Linked DNA regions of Oryzias latipes. The protein of the gene in region 3 purifies or fractionates together with the protein of the main gene of each other region. This does not show direct contact. Links are inferred from orthologs where the notes say so. Each region holds a gene or a part of one and is shown on either strand. Other genes may lie near its edges. The genes, in order: sf3b2, pop1 and protein lin-28 homolog A.

The links.
Region 1: the proteins of protein lin-28 homolog A (region 3) and sf3b2 purify together in Homo sapiens (affinity purification with mass spectrometry; 3 studies listed by BioGRID and IntAct, with this or other methods). This does not show direct contact. The link is inferred for Oryzias latipes from reciprocal best matches to the Homo sapiens genes LIN28A and SF3B2.
Region 2: the proteins of protein lin-28 homolog A (region 3) and pop1 purify together in Homo sapiens (affinity purification with mass spectrometry; 3 studies listed by BioGRID and IntAct, with this or other methods). This does not show direct contact. The link is inferred for Oryzias latipes from reciprocal best matches to the Homo sapiens genes LIN28A and POP1.

The regions. Positions count from the first base shown.
Region 1 is NC_019876.2:19,502,318-19,508,720, reverse strand, and holds the start of sf3b2 (splicing factor 3B subunit 2), read left to right. Parts: upstream 1-1,832; 5' UTR 1,833-1,912; coding exon 1,913-2,036; intron 2,037-2,473; coding exon 2,474-2,520; intron 2,521-3,120; coding exon 3,121-3,351; intron 3,352-3,609; coding exon 3,610-3,645; intron 3,646-3,766; coding exon 3,767-3,839; intron 3,840-4,018; coding exon 4,019-4,119; intron 4,120-4,296; coding exon 4,297-4,405; intron 4,406-4,737; coding exon 4,738-4,823; intron 4,824-4,958; coding exon 4,959-5,171; intron 5,172-5,248; coding exon 5,249-5,374; intron 5,375-5,454; coding exon 5,455-5,535; intron 5,536-5,613; coding exon 5,614-5,841; intron 5,842-5,937; coding exon 5,938-6,087; intron 6,088-6,184; coding exon 6,185-6,274; intron 6,275-6,403. UniProt on the Homo sapiens protein: Component of the 17S U2 SnRNP complex of the spliceosome, a large ribonucleoprotein complex that removes introns from transcribed pre-mRNAs.
Region 2 is NC_019874.2:6,455,361-6,461,774, forward strand, and holds the start of pop1 (ribonucleases P/MRP protein subunit POP1), read right to left. Parts: upstream 4,539-6,414; 5' UTR 4,129-4,538; coding exon 3,999-4,128; intron 3,709-3,998; coding exon 3,610-3,708; intron 3,305-3,609; coding exon 3,129-3,304; intron 3,051-3,128; coding exon 2,790-3,050; intron 2,705-2,789; coding exon 2,617-2,704; intron 2,309-2,616; coding exon 2,130-2,308; intron 2,018-2,129; coding exon 1,743-2,017; intron 1,669-1,742; coding exon 1,575-1,668; intron 1,500-1,574; coding exon 1,391-1,499; intron 1,314-1,390; coding exon 1,194-1,313; intron 183-1,193; coding exon 61-182; intron 1-60. Other genes in the region: rida (2-iminobutanoate/2-iminopropanoate deaminase), read left to right, coding at 4,734-4,798, 5,338-5,443, 6,337-6,391. UniProt on the Homo sapiens protein: Component of ribonuclease P, a ribonucleoprotein complex that generates mature tRNA molecules by cleaving their 5'-ends. Also a component of the MRP ribonuclease complex, which cleaves pre-rRNA sequences.
Region 3 is NC_019874.2:22,832,247-22,838,608, forward strand, and holds the start of protein lin-28 homolog A, read right to left. Parts: upstream 3,960-6,362; 5' UTR 3,836-3,959; coding exon 3,805-3,835; intron 3,461-3,804; coding exon 3,288-3,460; intron 294-3,287; coding exon 118-293; intron 1-117. UniProt on the Homo sapiens protein: RNA-binding protein that inhibits processing of pre-let-7 miRNAs and regulates translation of mRNAs that control developmental timing, pluripotency and metabolism.

The DNA.
Region 1 (6,403 bases), on a different chromosome or scaffold from region 3:
CAGATCTGGCTGACTAATCTCTTCTACTCTTCGGGTACATCTATGCTCTGGACCTACAGAACCCCAAAAAACTCGCCTTCATATTTATTCAGAATGCTGTCTTCAGCCTTGAGGACGGCAAACCACTGAAAGGACATTTATTGACGCTGAAGAATGTTTCGTTGAGTGAGTCTTCCAGAATGGACTATTTGTTGGTTTAAGTGTTATGCAACTGTTTTTGTTGTGATCATTTGCTTTTTCTGCCGTACAATACAAAACCAACACTTTTTGTCAATAAGTTGTGTGGCACCCTTATAATGCAGTTTTATTTCACTGATTGTTTCTTCATCCTCTTGATTTTTGTGATTCTTTTTTTAAAAGAGCAATTAAAAATAGTGTATTAAGCAAACACTATTGTGTGGCTTTCATGTTTGTTGGTTTTCATCAATGTTCGCTTTTAAAATGTTGTAATGGGGCAGTATCAATACATCTGTTTAGAATACATTTCAAGTCCATACATTTTAAGGTGAAGAATTTTAAATATTTTCAATGCTACACATTAAATGAGTTAAAAAATTTATAAAACATTTGAGTGAATTTTACATATTTTATGAGTTGAGTAATATTATAAAAAATATAGTTAGTTGAAGTGTTTTTTTTAGTTGGAAAATATTAAAAACTTTGAGTAAATAATCTCTCTTTTATAAGTTGAGGAATCTTAATATTTTTAATATGAAATAATACAAATTTAAGCCAACTGACAATATAAATTTTAATTAATGTTAACTTAAAAGTTTTAATAATATAACTTAAAAACTATTGCGTAATCTGTTACACAATAATTTTTAAGTTCAGTCAACTCATTAGGGTTTACAGCGATGCATTGGACTGGAATAATGGACTATAATAATCTCCCATTAGTGGGAACAATCACCTAAACACTGACCACTTCTTGGTTTCAATAGTACAATTCCCATCAGCCCTTGTCCTCAAACCAGAATGTTCCCAAGCTGCTTCCGTTTATTACTCACCTGTCTCTCATCTGCAATCACACAACCTCTATATCACTTGTCAAACTTAAGGCCCGCGAGCCAAATACAATACTTGGTGTGTATTCATATCTAAGGGGAATTGGAGTAGAAATATCGGATTGGGCAACTGTACATTAGGACTTAAACACTGTCAATATAACCTAACCTGACAGAATAAAATTTAAAAGGATTTATGCTAGAGTAACAAGCAAACATGTTTTCTGTGCAACTGTGTCACTTTAACAAGTTATAATAAATAAATGAGTTATTTAACATTAAGGAATAATTACGTTTATTTTTCATTATATTTAGTTACCTTTGAGGAGAACCACTATGCTGATGTGGCCCTCGGTGAAAATGAGTTGGACACCCCTGCTATATATACAGAAAACTAGCTCACATTACAAAAAGTTGTGGCACATATTTACCTTTATACTTGTAACTTCTGTTAATTTCAATTCTTAACAACCCAAAATCAATTTAACAAATTATACAGCATCACGTATTTGAGCCCTGCCCTGTCATGGATTTGATTTTGTTCTAGTACAAAGAAAATGCGAATATACTTCAATGTCTTTAGTAGTAGTATATTAGTAGTTGTTGTTGTCATTCATTGTAGTAGCAGTAGTAGTAGCAGCAATGGGACAACGTTTTTACATTATTTACACAAATATATCAATTTGTTTACAAAAAAAACGTTTTCAAAAATCATATTTCAACCAGTTAACGGGCCAACACTGACACCCAGAGACGTCCGTAGGAAAATTAAAGGAAAATTTACAACTTCATATCCCTAAGACCATTGCGTTTCTCCCATAATGCCTTGCTTTTTTTTCTTGTTCTCGTTTCTGTCTCTCGCGAGTTTATCTCTTTTTTCCACCGCCGTTGATCGACTGCTCAACATGGCTTCTGACGGACCGCCGGGCACGGACCCGAATGATTTAGGTAGTGTAATCGCAGCATTAAACACATGGAGCGTCCCAGAGCTTCAGGGGAAGCTGGTGGAGCTAGGAGCTCCAACAATGGGTAAGAAAAGCTCCCATATAGTGCAAAAATCAAAGCGCGTTGTTTTGAAGCTAGCTTACGGCTAGCATTAGCTTGGAGCACATAGTCGTTGAACCTCCGTCATAAAGCGCTCCAACAACAGGCCCGCAGAATGGTTTGACTCCGTTTAGTATTTTCATATGCATATTTTAAAAGCCGTTTTTGTCTAATATTTTACAGTTGGAATACCAAACGTAACAATTGATTGCTTTTGATGATTTCTTACAAAAACTAGCTAAGTTTTTGCTGATGATGATGATCGACAGTTCCATTGTTGTGAACTGCTTAGGATTTGCTAATAATGTGATCAATAATTGGTATTTTACGTCATATGGTACTCTGATTACGTTAATAAATAACTCCAAACCGATGAATTATTATTAAAATAAAATACAATGGTCGTGCTTCTCTTAATTTAGGCTCTAGAGAGGAACTCATTGACAGACTGAAGGGCTACATGATGCAGGTAAGCTCATCCTCGAAATCAACATCACACCCACACAAATGCAACTTCCCATTCTTAATTCATTTTTTTTCTTGTTGATTTTAAAAACTATTATTCAAATGGATAATAATAAAATGTTTTTGAGGGTTTTATACCAATAGTTTGGGTAATCTCTCTTGTAGCCCTTCACATTGAGCCATTAAAACGGTGTGGAACGTTTTTTAAATTTTACGATGTCTATCTGGATTTATGTATGTTTAATTTTGTAAAATGTTTTAGTATGCTGTATAGGGATAATAGTTCAATTGCAAAAATCTCAAGTTAATATGGCAACAAACAACTAAGGGAAATCATTTCATTAGTAGCCTAACAAAGAATAATTGGTTGGCTAATGAAGGCTATTGAGTGGACTTAGTTTTGACTGTTTTTAACTTATCTGCATTGTTCAACTTCTGAATTTATAAATCAGACTGTAGACATGTGATGTTTAGCTAATTTTTAATGTGTCAGGTGGAAAAGCAAAAATAAATGGCCCAAAATAAAAATAAAAAAGATTAATTTCATATCAGTCAGCCTCCTATCTATTGCTCTTTTCACAATATTTTCATTTCTTTTTTTCAGGTGCCGAGCATTCCTCCCATGCCCCCGATGCCCATGCCACCTATGCCCCCAGGGATGGGAATGATCCCAGCAATGAACATGATACCCCCTGGAGCTCCTCCCTCTGGCATGCACATGACAATGGATCATCCAAACATGCCACCTCCTGGTCTCACACAGGACGATCAGCTTAAAATGGTTCAGCAGAGAGCTGCCATTGTGTTACAACAGGAAGAAAGGGCCAAGCATCAGGTGGGATGGCAGAACTGGCCAACTGCTGCATTTGACACATTAATCGCTAATATTGTAGTACTCGGCAAAACAAAATTACTGGACTGTATTTAAACATTGTAAGTTTTACAAAGTAAATTAGGTAAAAACAACGATCATAGATACAATTTTTCAATGTATTTGGGTAAAGCCAACATTTTTTACTAGAGACCTTTAACAGAAAACACCTAAACAGTCACATTTGCTAAACATTGGCCTTTTTTTGTTTGGCTAAAACAGGGGGACGAAAATGAACTTCTGGAGCAGCAGCAACGGGTAAGGAATTGCAAACAACACATTTTGTTCAGCTGTCAATTAAAATAAGGAAGACATTTATTTTCTTTGTTTCTTATTGTGATTTTATATTGCTTGCATCTCTCATTCATTTCTTCCTTAGGCTGCCGTGCTGCTGGAACAAGAACGACATCATGAAATGGCAAAGATGCAGCCAGCTGTCTCTGCAGTAAGAGGTTTGTGGAATATCCTAAAACCTTTTACAAGTGATTCCATTCAAGATCAATGTCACAAAATGTTTGTCAAGGGAAGACGTCTCTGCTTCCTACAGTGTTGCAAGCTGACGTTAAACCAGCATTTAATAGTATATTTTTACATTATCAATCACAAATTTGTTTTTTTCACAAAACCAAAGTTTCAGTTTTGGATCCTCACGGGCCTTTACCTCCTGGTGTCACCTTGTTGCCATCTCATAAACAAAAGGTGCCACCCCCTCCAGGAGAAGATAACAGAGACGTACGTTTTTCCTGCACTTCTCTAATTTTTGTTTTAGACATAGGTTAACACTAATTCTGGTGTGATTTAAGCAAAGTTAGATTCTTTTGAAGTTTTTTTAAACTCTTTGAACTTTTTTGATTAAAATGCGACAACCTGCTGGTTTAGTGTTAAACTGCAATTCCTTTCTTCCTGCAGATCTGGCAGAATGAAGAGATTAGTGTTGGCGGGCCCAAGATCCCACAGGCTCTGGAGAAGATCCTTCAGCTGAAGGAGATCAGGCAGGAGCAGCTTGTCGATCCAGCAGGTTAGACTTACAAAATAAAATATCTCCAGATTCTTTACATTCACTGTTACTGTCGTAAGGTATGGCCCCTAAAACATTTTTATTTTAGGGTATAGCATGGATATGTGTTTTTTGGTTATTTAATTTAAAGTCTGATTTTTTTTTTTTTTTTGCTTTATTTTTTTCAACAGAACCTGATCTGCCTTAAGTGTGATTTTTTTTATTACTGATTATAAAACCAAAACAAAAAAGCATAGTTAAAACTTTAATCAAGATGGTTGAAGCTTGTCAGCAACTAGGAAGCACGTTTGGAGAAAGAATCACTGTTTTTACTTCCCTTTGCTTTGTTTTAGATGATGTTGAAGATATGGATGCAACAAATTCTTCTGCAGCAGTAATGTCTGAAGACGACGAAGATGGCCAGATGTCCAAAAAAGATGTAAGGGGGATCAAATTCAACAACTTTGGATGCCAATTTTCTTCGTTTTTGTATAGTGTTTAAAGTATATTTAGAATTGTGTTTGACAGAGGGTTTTAAAATTGAATGTTTTTTTTTTTTTTTTTTTTTTTTTAGAAAAATTGCAAGCGCAGGAACAGAAAAAAGAAGAGCAAGAAGAAGCGAGCGCAAGAGAAGAAGGAACAGGCTGAGCAGCAAATAAAGGAGAGCAGCACCAAGCAAAAGGACAAGGAGAAGGAGACAGAGGTGGAGATTGAGTACATCACAGAGGACCTGGAGATTTACGACCCCAACTATATCTTCTTCAAAAAGATTTTTGAGGCATTTAAGGTAGCTTAAGCATATTGTACACAGACAGAAGCTATGTTGGTGCTTTGCTTTGCATCTTTATTTTTTTTGTTTTAAAGTTAACTGATGATGTGAAAAAAGAGAAGGACAAAGAGCCAGAGAAAACTGAAAAGCTGGAACCAGTGGGTATGATGCGGAAGAAGGGGTTTGAGCTGGAGAGGAAGGACAGCGATGATAGCGATGAGGTATGCATCATTTCCTTTGGAAACTCAACTCGGAGATGAAAAACATTTCAAGATCAACACAAAATGTTTTGGGTGTACAGGAAGCCAAACAAGATGTTCCTAAACTGTCCAAAAAGAAGCTGCGGCGGATGAACCGGCTCACTGTAGCTGAACTCAAACAGGTACTGACCAATGTGGCTCTGTTGTCCCACAGAAGTGTTGTTCTTTACAATAATCTTTCTTTTCTTGACATTTTCCAGCTGGTGGCTCGTCCAGATGTTGTGGAGATGCACGATGTGACTGCACAGGAGCCCAAGCTGCTGGTTCACCTAAAGGCCACCAGGAACACAGTTCCTGTGCCTCGCCACTGGTGCTTCAAGAGGAAGTATCTGCAGGGCAAGAGAGGGATTGAGAAGCCTCCGTTTGAGCTGCCAGAGTTCATCCGGAGGACGGGAATCCAAGAGATGAGGGAGGCTCTGCAGGAGAAGGTACAGATGTAAATGTTAACATCTTTGGGAAGAGATTCTTGTGCTTTTTTTTTAAATGTATATAAATTATAATACTTTGCGATAATCTGTTTCTAGGAGGACGCTAAAACAATGAAGACCAAAATGAGGGAGAAGGTTCGTCCTAAAATGGGAAAGATTGACATCGACTACCAGAAGCTGCATGATGCTTTCTTCAAGTGGCAGATCAAACCTAAACTCACCATCCATGGTGACCTTTACTATGAGGTGCAGGATTCCCCTCACTTTCATTCATGTGTTTAATCTGGAGGAGTGCTTGCTTTTGGTTGGTTTACTCTGTGTCTGTTGTGTTGCTCTTCTGCAGGGCAAGGAGTTTGAAACTCGTCTGAAGGAGAAGAAGCCAGGAGACTTGTCTGATGAGCTGCGGATTGCTCTGGGAATGCCAGTAGGACCTGTAAGCTCCAATGACACTCAGTCAGATAACAGAATATTTGTTGTTTAAGCAGCATTAGAAAATCTGAAAATTGTCTGCAGACATGCAGCACAAGAATCCATGATGTTGGTTCAACCTGTCGTCATGAAA
Region 2 (6,414 bases), about 16 Mb from region 3:
CGGAGATGAAGCAGCTGAGACAGGAGGGGCTACAAAGGCAGATGGAGATCACGGGTGAACCTGCTCAGAGATCTTGTTTTCGGTGACATTGTCTCGCACAGACTGTTCCCACAAGCAGCTCTGGCTGCAGAGCTGCGGGACGCCTCGTAACATCAGCTGCCGTCTCTTCTCCTCGTCTGCCTCTGTGGAAACAAACACAACCTTCCTGAAAATCAGCCTCCAGAATTCCATCCTCTTACTCCCAGAATTCTAATGTTCAATTAAAAATGATCAAACAATTCCTTAAATCAAAACATTATTTTTACCCAAGTTTATACTGTTAATATAAAACTAGAAAGTAGGATTATATAATCTAATATTGAAATATACCGAATACACAATTAGGAGAAACCAACAGGTGTGTCTGATTTAAATGGATGATAAATATACTATTATTTTGACTGGAATCTTACAGAAATTAGAAATATTGCTGCACTTTTTATCCTTTGCACTGATGTAAACTGCTATAAACTTCCCGGTAACAGGGTAGTCATAAAGATTTTTTTATTTCACTTTTAGTTCATTCTGCACATTGTAAATCAGAGAATAAAAAGTGATTTTTTTAAAGTAAATTTATTAATATTAACAATTTTAACACTCCTTTCCAATTGTACCTTCTTGATTTTAATAACTGGTGCAACTTTCAGTAGTTGTAAATCGGTTTTTAAATGATGCACCTTTCAATTTATTATTAAAAATGAATGAACAAATGAGGCACTTATTATTAGTTGCAAATTATTTACTTTTGTGTTTTTACAATGAACGACACACTCTGACCTAAGAGCACTTTTGTATTTTGTTGTACATGTGACAAAAACAAGTAAATTACTGAATTCACTTCATTGTGTGCTTGAGAACTCAATGTGAAGGGCAGATCCGAACTGATCCATGAGACAATAATGTTCAAATCGGCTGCTCAGTCGCTGAGGGTGAGACTGGAGTACAAGGTCCTGCCAGGATTCGAACCTGGAACATCTGCATGGCTGGGCAGAGGCCCCCAGGAGCACAGAACCAGAAACGTACTCAGTGAAACACCCTCAGGACCTTTGGTGACCGACAGTGTTGCATTAACGTCTAGCGCAGCAGTTCATGTTGTGACATGTGCAGCATAACGACCCGCCCTCCTCCAGTCTGTCCAGAAGGTCAGATTTTACCTTGACTCTGGTTTACACTGGGCATTGCTTTAACCTTCTTTGCCGGTAAAGTCAATCTGGGGTCATCCACAGTCAGACCCAGCACCGTGCCAGGGGGCACCTCTCCAGATGAATAGATGCCTGCACATGAGACATGAAAGCAAAGTCAGTGATCAGGACCAAGGAGAGGAAAAAGCACAAAGCAGCAGAGCTCCAACCTTTCAGTGTCTTAAAGACCTCTGCTTGTTGTTGATGCAGATTCATCTTCCTCTCATCTCTACAGTGCTGAGGCCACCACAGAGAAGAAGCCTGGGACTGACCCGCCTCCTTAAAAACAGAACTCATCTATAATTTTGTCGAGTAGGTTATTTTTGATCAGGAGAACCCTTTCACAACACTCACATCACAGTCTGTGGCTGCCTCCAAGCTTTCTGTTAGCACAGAATGAGACTGAGGTCCGACCAGGCGGTAGCGTACCATCTCCATCGTGAGATCGCTACGACAGATGACCAGATACGTGAATGAAACAGAATCACCTCCTCCAAACAGTTGCTCAGTTCATTCACTGACTTTATTACGATTCCAGTTGAGCTGGACTTCCAGGTGACTGGAGTGTCGGGTGATCTGGTTCCGTCTCCCAAGATCTTCTTAGCAGGAGGTCCACCTGCGTCCACACGGCTCCGTTTCCTCTTTCCTCCAGGTGTCACCTTGGCTTTAGGGGAGACCTCAGGCTTTGGCTCAGACTCCAGGGTGGAAGCAGACTCTGCAGGTGTGGCCACTGGGATAACCGGGGGCACCACCGCCTCAAAGCACTCACACACTCTTTGCAACTCTGGGAGAAGATCCTGAAGAGGAACACATCAGCTGAAATCAACCAGCTTGCTGTGACTGACTCGACACTGACTGGTGTACCAACAACCCAAACCCCCCTGTGAGGATTTAAAAGCAGCCGTTTACCTGCTTCAGAGCGGGATGCGCCCAGATCCACAGCTGCCTGCTGGCTGAGCCTTCTGCTCGAGGTCTCCAAAGAAATGTGACGGGGCCCAGAGGGTGTGAGGGGTACTGCCCCGCTCTGTACACCGTAACGCTGCCCTGTCTGCACCCAGACAGGCACAGAGCTGCAGCAAAGGTAGGGCCTGGAAAAATGTCAACCACAATTCAGAGTTTTATTACCGTACTTAAAGTCCCACTTTGATCATCTTACGATCTATTTTCAAGTGTTCCCAGTGGTCTTTTGATCATGATTGTGCTGAAATGCACTTTCAATCCAAATTTTCTTTATACATTTCCTGAACCATCACAAAAATGCCACAAGAACAAGTTAAAAACACCAAAAGCACCTTTTCATCAGGGTGGATCTTTAAATTAGTCTCAGAAAGTCAAAAAAGGCAGCCTGTGTTTTTTTTTTTTAACGTGGTAAAAAGAAAGTAGTAACAGCCCTCACCCGTCTCCTTGCTGGTCAGCTGTGACAGAGCAGTCAACAGCGTGTCCTCCTCTCCCTGCAGCTCAATGCAGCAGTAATAAGAAATGTCCTGCATAGATGAAAAAAATAACTAAAAAAAAGCAGTTTATCTATCTCCTGGATGTTTTCATATAAATAAAAACAGAGTGTTTTACCAGCAGCAGGCAGTGGCTGCTCATTGCTCTATAGCACGGCCGGTAGCACTTGCACGTTGGTCTGTCCCCGAGACGGTAACCCCACTTCTTTACCATGTGGAAACGCTTGGCGTGCCAAATGTGCGTCTCTAACCAAATGTTCTTGCGCTGGCGGCGATTGAACTCCAGCAACAGGTTGCCGTGGCGCCGGCGAGCTTTGCGGCTTTTACTCTTTGGTAGCTCCTTCTTCTTCTTCGAGCCGGCCTGGAGGCTCTTTTCCCGCTGATGGAGGAGCGTATGTGAGCGCACACGGAGCATGGATGAATCACTAAAGCAGCTGAGAGCATTTGCAGAAATTACCATTTTGCTCGCCACATCTCTCAGCCTGCGGGGAAGCCTCTTGGTGTTGTGGCTCATGGCGCGTCTCCTCATGTGTTTGGGCAGAGCCTGGAAGACATGGTTGCTGCCCGTTCTCTTGGTCACTGCTTTCAGCATGGCCTTCACCTCTGCAGCCCTGCTCCTGGCAAACGCTCCAGCTTGGTGAGGAGAACAATAGAAGGACTTTTAGGAAACTGTAGGAAAAAGGGGCTCTGACAGACCATTTATAAGGTTTCCCAGCATTTTAATTGTTTTTAGGAATTAACAAGAAAGTGTTTAAAGAAAAGGCATCAAATGGTAAAGGGAAAAAAAAAGAAAGCTGCCATCGCCTTTGTCAAATAATTTCCCAAATGTCATGGGAAATGTGGTTGATGTTGTGCATATGAAGGGATTCTGCTCATAAATGAAGTTCGTGACATAAACAACTTTTGCCTGTGTTTGCAGGAGTGAAGCGTCTCCTCACCGGTGATGTATTTGGGCATCTCCTTCATGTAACCTCCTCCTCCATCTCTCTGATTTCCACGAACCCATCCAGTCCTGGGAGGAGGGTTCCTCTGCCATCCTAGCAGAAAAGATCAGAACAAACAGCGTTTTGCTTTTCAAACCACTGTTTCCTTTAATGAGGCGTCAGACATGTGTGGTCAGGACATTTAGAGAATTTTAATGCAGAATATACAAGACAACACTGATGTTGTGTCTTTCTGACCAGCATCATCATGCCACCTAAATGTCAATCATATAAAAGGCTAAGGGGAAAAGCACACAGTGAATGCAGGGCTGAGTGGCCTGCCGCCACCATGTGCTGACCACGCAGCGGCAGTCCCCACTCGTGACAGTGGGCCGTGTCAATACCGGAGTCCTTCGCTTCTTGTCGTCCGTTCTGGCTGCTGCTACCCGCCGCGGCGGAAGGAGACGAATACTGCACGCTGGCAGGCTGGTTCTTCATCTTCCTGTCCCTCATCTTCACCTTGGAAGCAGACATTTTCTCTAGTCTTAACCGCCACAAAACATAAATAAAAAGAAGAAATCCCGAAAAAGTCCAAATAATAAGCCAGCTAGCTACGTTAGCTCACACTGAATCTGAAGTTTTTTCTCCCAAACTTGGATCTAGCAGACTGATTCAAACGTAACTTATGTATAAAAAAGAGGTAAATCAAAAATGTCTATCACAAAATTAAGTCGGATGCAGTTCAATGTTGTCGCTACAGCTAACAACCACATGGGTTTAATTAATGTCAGCTTACGTCGATTTGCTTCCGGGTTCGTGGTACTCTTGGAATTTGTAGTTCAGTTGCCGAAAAGACTAGCGAGTCAGGAGAAAACACGTCGACATAGCAATTTATCTTTTAGGATAGCGTTGTTTTTTTCTTGCTTCACTATAAATATATAATTTTACTGTAAAAAAAATTAAGACAAAATAACTTTCTTTAAAAAGTCAGGTACATTTTGCGACTGTTAGTTGTCATTTACGGTAAGGCGGATCCAACTGTTCTCCGTCGTTTTTTTCCCAATCTTTATTTATAAATTAGTTTCCCTTCGTGTTTTCGCCTTCACACGCCTGCTTTCACCCTGCATGAGTTCAGAAACATGTCTGCGTTAATCAAGAAGATCATCAGCACGACTAAAGCTCCTGCTGCCATCGGTCCATACAGGTGAGCGGAGTACGAATCCGACCGTCTCTGGACGGACACTACACCAAACAAACAAGTGCACGCTTCTTCACTGTGGACTTTACACCGCACCACTGTGGAAAAGTTTAGCTGCTGTTAACCATATTTCTTTAAGAAACTTTTATTTGAGTTCTAATATTTAATATAATTACAAATAAAAACGAATAATAAAAATCAAATGAAATTTGCCTAATCTTAAATTAATCTAAATGCAGCCTTAACATAATCATACCGTGTGTCCGCCCCCCCCCGCCCCCCCTTCCATTTTCCTTTTGATTTATTTCTTTGACCAACTCAAATTATTTTTGACTTTAGAGTAAACTTTTGTCTGGTCTCTAAAAACTATTAACCTGAAGCTTTTTTTGTTTTTTTTCCTCACAAAAAAAAAGCTTTCAAAGTAAAAGTTAGCTTATAAAATGAATTTAATCATAAAACCTACATTGCAGCTGTAGACATGATTTTTTATTTTTCCATGAAATCTTTTTGAAATAGGCTGATACTGTGGTGCTGTTGTCTTCCAGCCAGGCGGTGCTGGTTGATCGGACCATGTTCATATCAGGACAGCTGGGGATGGATCCCGCCACCACACAGCTGGTGGAAGGAGGCGTTCAAGCACAAACCAGACAGGTGACCACACGGCTTCTCTTAAAACATTTGTAGCTTTCCTTCTCAAACTACAAAGGTGGATTGTGAACAAGCTAAAGACCCACCTTTACGAAAATGAGTTTTTTTGGTGTTTTTAACATGTTCTTGTGACCTTTTTCTGATAATTAAGGACATATAAAGAAATTAAGCTTATAATAGCATGTCTGGGTATTTCTTCCAATTGTTGTAAATCAGGAGCAGATGCAAAAATGCAGCTGGAAAAAGCTTGTAAGTGTGGCTGACAAGTTACCCCAGTGGGCCACTAGCTCCCTGCCCCTCTCCATTCTGATGCATCCACTTGTAGACAAATAGACACGTGTGTGTCCTCATTTTTCTCGTCTGAGCTGGAATCTCCACGGCTCCGATATTGCTCGCCATTTTTGTTGCACCGCCAATGTTAGGTTGGGGATACGAGGGAACGTAAGCTAGTGGAAGACGGGGTAAACAGATGATGGAAAGGGGGCAGGCTTTCACGACTACTGTACTACTGTCGCTCTGCAGAAATTATGTCCTGGAAAACGACCCAGGATTCCTGGTTTTGGCTAAACTTGGCATAATCATAATTAAAAGAACACCGGGAACGCTTTGAAAACGGATCAAAAGATGATCAGAGTGGGACTCTAAAGTGTAACTAAGGTGCAGATTTTTTTTTGTTGAGCTACAGATCAAGGAACTTGAGAATCATGAATTGAGTATTTTCTTTCAAGTTGCAATGATCACAAATGCAGGGAAAAGAAAACATGTTGACTTCTCACCACAAGGTGAAGCAAATGCAGAAGGTTTTTTTTTTTTCATGGTGGAGAGAGAGATGCAGGTTCTAGTTCTACTGTGATGTGTGGTGGTATCCATTGATAATTCTTCCCCTTTTCCTTCAGGCTCTTGTTAACTTGGGCGAAATCCTTAAAGCTGCTGGTTGTGGTTATGAAAACGGTAATGAAGAACCTTTCATGTTT
Region 3 (6,362 bases):
AATAAATAAGTATTTCTGGCATTTATTCTAAGTAATTTTAATTTGCGTCAGGTGAAATTGGTAATGGGGAAATTCAAAGATGTAAATTTAAACCCCCTGTTGCTCTCCAATGCTCACCTGGAACGTCGCTTTTGGACCTTTTTGCCTTTCGGTCTCCGCTCGCTGCCCACACAGTAGATGCCTCCTGGTCCTGTGACTCGCTGGGACTCCAGGCCTTTTGATGACTTCTTGTAGGTAAACTCAACTGCTTCTCCCTCTTTCAGGCTGCGAAAACCTTCCATGTGCAGCTTACTCTGACAAGAGGGAAAATAAAAATGTTTATTAGTATGGAAGTGTTGGATGATGCGGTTTAAAACGTCACGGACATCATACATGTGATGGGAAGTGAGAAATACTTTAAACACATTTAAGGAATCAGATGTCCTCATCTTTCCCACATTACCACCACATTAAGCTTGCAGAGAGTCTGACCTCTGGGAACATCCCCCAACCATTCTTTCCAGCCTGATATCATCAAAGCCTGGTGGCACTTATCAGATATCTGTTAGTCTAAGGTGATCTCCAGTCCTCGCCTAAAAAACAAACAGCCCCCCACAATCCCCTCTGGTCCCTGTCTTCCTGGTTGTTTGTGCACCACCAAGACCCCTCGTTGTCCTTTCATTGTGTTGGGAGTGGTAAACCTGGCGAGGATAACCTTCACCCCCCCCCACCCCACCACCACCACCACTGGAGGAACAGCATTCCACTCTGCTGCCCCCACCCCCAACCCTCTTCCCACCCACATCACAAAGCTCCACTAACACACTGACCACCACCACTAACCCTTAACTACAGGATGCAGGGGTTGGTGCTCGTGTTGGGGGTGGGGTGACAAAGCAGCAAGGCTTCTCTGGGAGGTTGGGGGGTCAGGGTGACATTCTTCGGATGCTTGTTTGGCAGAGACAAGAAGGATATCAAGTGAGGAAAAGCACAAATGACTAATATCTCCCCAAATATTGCACCTGTGACCCGGTTGTTGTGTCAAAGGCGTGACCGGAGCTGTAAACTGCAAACACAGCTGCTTTATTTTCACAAACACGAGGCTTACCTGAGGTGGAAAAACATTTTTTTTTCTTCTCAGCCCATTCAAAGAACAATTCGGCTACCTAAAGCAATGAAGCCACCCAAGGAAAGGAAAGGTGTGGTGCAGGTTTAAGGATAAATCCTTTCAACTGCATAACTCCATCATGGGAAACCCCTCTGTAAAAATCCCTTGGTGCGGCTAAAATTAACCTGTCACGCAGACTGCACACTGTTGACATAGATGGAGCTGTGCATTAATTTGTCAGGTTTGTTTTGGTAGACAGTAATCCCTTCTCTTTGATTGTATTCTGAGCAAAACCAAATCTTTTGACCAATGCTCTGTATTTTTGTCTGAGGGGAATCAAACAGAGCACACAATATAGGAAGACGCATTCATGACTGATGGAACAAAAAAATAAAACATAGAAATCTGTAAAATGCTCTGTTCGACTATAAAGCTAAAAGGACAAACACGTTCTACACAGGGTTTAGCTTCAAGCACAGCTCCTGAACAGCAGGATGACACAACTGTTGAGCCATGACACCTAAATGGCTCATGAGAATTCGGCCTCTGTCCCATCAGGCCTATCTGCCTTGGTGACCATTAACCCACTTCCTCTCCCGTGTGTTACCATCCCCACCCCTAATAATGGATGCTCACCAGCAACAGCTCCAACAGCCGGCTCTGAGCTTCTATACTTGAAGGTTGCAGAGGTATAAGACGCGTGAGTTCTAGAAAATTTTAAATGTCAATTAGGACTAAGAAAGACATCAGAGCAGCGAGGGACAATGGCAGGACTTCTGCAGAGACAAAGAGGGGCTCTATCACGACTGAGGGGTGCTTCATTTCGGTTGCATGGCTCTATTGTCCACCTGCACAAAGAACGGATGACGTTGTCAAATCATCCACACGTTCACTAGTGACAGAAATTTAACTTGATTGGCATCTTTTTTAAGGATCCACGTGTCCGATGTGCACCGTAATTTTATCAAAACATTGTAAACCAAAATGAAAAATTGTTATTTTTACTCATAATGTGTCAGAAATGAATCCCGAGTTTGAAAAAGTTATCCTTTATAAAAAATAAAACCTCAAACATGGCAGGTTTAATGCAGGTTTACTCTCAACTGCACCAGGGTTTTGGTTCACAATATGAGTAATCAAGTGTATATTTCCTGTAAGTTTCAGTTGCGCCAATTCCACAGAGCATATATGCTTCTCTCAGTATGCATCACTGTAAAGAAATGCAGAAATAACAGAACAAAAAGCAGAGAACAGGAACAATCAGGTTGTGAGAAAAAAAGCTTCTGAATGTTTTAATGAAACAGATGTGTAGGAACAAGAATCTTTACCAAAATAAATCCTGGGGTCTTCTTCAAAGAAGATTCTTGGTTGTAAAGTATAGGTCTGTACCACACACAGAGGGGGTTGAAGAGACAGCCAGAGAAGCCTTTAATCACTTTATGACAGGAACTTTGAGGTAAAAGAGCTGCCGGTGAAGATGCCTCTCATTCACATGCTAAACCTTTATCTTATCAGGCAGAAATGGAGCTTCTCACTCTTACACAGCAAGAGGAGGAAAACCCCAACTTCTTCAGTTAACATTTTGAAGGTGGATAAAAAAGGAAATCTTTTTTTTTTCAAATAAAGATAAATCAAATATTTAAAGAATAATAAAAACCTAAAGTGCAGGGAAAAAAGGGTTGAGAAGAAAATAATACTTAAAAGTCTTTGGGTAGCAAATCAGGTACCACAGAGGAGGGGACAGATGAATAATAATACATTTAAAAAAATAATCTAGATATATCAGCTTAAAAATACGTTGGTTTTTTGTAGCCTAACTTGGTAAACAAAAAGCGTATTTAAATAATTTCAAATCTTTAGGACTACAATGGTGTTTTTCTCCATTAAAATGTCGTTTTGAGACATTTTAATTAAAAGGAGCTACATTTTTTTTGTCTCCCTCGCGCTGTTTTTGGGGTGAAAGTCTCATGGAGGCCCTCTGCTCTCCTCCAATCGATTTTTTTTTTTTTTTTTTTGCAGAAAATGGAGCAGCAAAAAAAATCAAATTTTGGAGCAAAAGTTCCTGATATTTTTCTGTTTTACGCACTTTGTTCTTGACCTTTTTATCCCCATACCTGAGGTAAACCTTTCAAAGTTTTTAGCATTTTCATACTGGGTGTTTGTGGAGGGCACAAGAAGTAAATTCGTTAAGGGAGCTCACCTGGTGGACAAAGACATCCACCGGCTCGTCCAGCGGCACTCCCTCCCGCTTGGTCATGGACAGAAACCCAAAGCCCATGCGGACGTTGAACCATTTACACACGCCGGTTCCATGGAATGACTGCGAATCCTCCTCTGTGCTCGGTCCTTCGTCTTCTTCTGTCTTGCACACTCCTGTGGATGAAAAAATGCGCGAGGGACACTTCAAACCCTGCGCGTAAAGCCAGGACGCACGGATCGAGCCAAAACTGTCATTTGCGTAACTTGGTACAAATCGATGACTTAAGTCGGAACTTTAGTGTAATTAAAAAATAAAACCTCTTAAATCTCCCTACACGTTGAGGCGCGTTTGATTAAAATTAATGATCTTGCAGGATTCGGCGCGTCAGAATTTCAGGAGTTGGAAGCATCACGTGTTTGAACAAAGCCCCCCAAAATGTTCCACTGCAATCGGACCGACAACGTCAGAGAAAACAACTTCATCAACTCGCAAAGTTTAGCGCATCAAGTTACTCAACCTGGGAACTCCTGGTTGGAAACAGAACCCATGTTCTTCAGGTCGGGTTCGGGTCAGAATCTACAGTCACGTTACAGTATCCTCTCCTGCGCGCGCACAAGGTAATCCTCGCAGATTGCCACTTTCATGCAAAATGCTGTGAAAAGCAGAAGCGGCACAGCAAGAGGGAGGAAAGCCAGGAGGGAGGTAAACAAAAGGGGGCTGGCAACCTATTCCTCCTAAACAATACGAGGTGGGGGGGTCACCGGGGGAGGAATTTCTGCTGAAGACCCCCACCATAATATCTGAAACAAAACAGCCTTCTCCATCTCTAGAAAGGACTTTTTTTCTTGTCTTTCTTTCGTTTTTTTTTTCTACTTAAAAAAACTCCCAACGTACCTTCTGCCATGTTTGTGGGCCCCCTTAGTCGCAGAGTGCGCGGCTGCCGAGCCCCAGATGTCCGCCTCCAAACGCGCTTCAAGCTCTCCTGCAGTGATCAAGCACTGCTGGTCAATATAAATGACTATTTCTTATCCAACAAACCCCCCACACTCTCGGTCATGTCCACGTGATTCACGATTACAGTCCCCAAGGATACATGCATTGTGTGATGGAGGGGCCTATCACAACAAACGCACATTTCAATATTCTCATATATATTTTTTCCCACATTGAGATCCTTTCTGCTGCAGCAGCAGCTTCAGATTTATTGCCTTTTAGTTTTCTGGTTTGTCGTTGGCATCATTTTTGCATAAACGAGTTAAACCTGCTGTACTTTTGGATGGTTCTCCCCCCAAATATTTATGCGTAAAACTGCAGGGAGACGCAAAAAAAAGGTCATTTTGACCAAAAGGTTTGCAAGAAAAGTCAATGAATGTCCCAATGAAAAATCTGGGACTTTTGATAAAATAATTGCCTTGGTTGGTAGAGTTAAGGATAAAAAATAAAACACATTTTTAGTGTTATTTTTATTTATTTTGTTGGTAAATCAACAACATATCTTCACACGGTAAGGAGGTCTTAACAACAGAAAATGGTCAAAAACAAATGCGAACGAAAGAGAGGAAAAACCCTGTCAGATGGAACAGAAGGACGAGAAAACAACGGTTGGATAAGTGAACACACGAGTGAGATGAAAATATGCAAACGAATTCATGGATCGATAGTGATTGATCACATCATGTTAAGATGCTGACTCGTGTCCTCGTGGAATGATGGATGTGCTAAAAACAGGAGATATCTGACCACGCCAAGAGTGGTAGAGTTGCAATGGATGGCGACAGACATATAAGTATTCAAAAAATGTTTTTTATATTCTATATTTTAATTTTGTTGCAGTTTTATAGTGAAAAAAAACAACAACTTTTTTTTAACTTTGTCATCAAACAACCTAAAAAAACCTCATGTTTACATTTCAGGTTAAAGTTCTGAGCAACTCTCTGAGAGACAAACTGTTTTATCTCGTCTGGTAGGTCAGTTTAGTTTTAAGGCCTACCGTCTGACAAAGAATGTGAAGTATGTTTTCTGGAAATGACCCACCTTTGTGGCGCATGATGGATGTTTGAGAGGCACAAGTGGGGAAGGGATCCCTGCGACCACAACGACCCCTTGTGGAGCTAGAAAACATGCGTTTTATGACACCTGAACGTCACGTGATTATTATTATTTTTGTTGGATGACTTTTTCACAGTAGCCTAAATGTAAAAATGATGTTTTCACAGAGCCAGGAAAAGGAAGCATTATGTTTAATTTATCACTACAACGGCTGTTCAAGATCTGTCCAATGTAGAAAACGGGGAAACAATTGCTAAAACATTTTTTTTAAACATGATTTCTTAATCTTGGAATCTATTAACTTTACAGACAGATTCTATAAATTGTTCCACTTGAAAGATGAGAGAGATCTGCATTGTTCATCATACACTGAGAGACAGAATGTATAAAAAGAATACAGGAAATCTCATTATTTGATTGGTGTATATCAGCACAGAAAATAAGTATTTAGTTCTAACAGTCAACACTTCTGTACACTTAGATCTGTTTCTTTAAGAACCTCTTATGTCCTCCACTGGTTATCTGTATTAATGTTACCCGTCTGAACTGGTTGTCTGGACAGAAGACACCTGTCCACACCCTAAAACAGTCCAACTATAACTTTTCCACCATGACTAAAGAGCTGTCAAAGGACATAAGGGTCACGATTGTATGCTTGAAGAAGACTGACATGAACCGATCTACTAAGTAAACAGCTTGTTAGAAAGAAATACAAGATTACTGACAGTATCCCTCCACCAGGGATGCCATAGAATATTTAATCTGGTGGGTTACAGGTGATCGTGAAAATGGTGAGGGAACAGCCCAGAGCTACATGGGAGAGCTGGTCAATGACCTTGAGAGAGCTGAGACCACAGTATCAAAGGTTACTATTAGTGACACAATACATTTTTAGGAATTGCAATCCTGCAGAGCTCCTGCTTAAACCAGCACATTCCCAAGCCCGTCTAAAGTTTACCAGAATGACATTAAATGATCCAAAAAAAGATTGGTAGAATGTCACGCGATCTGATGAAACAAAAATGC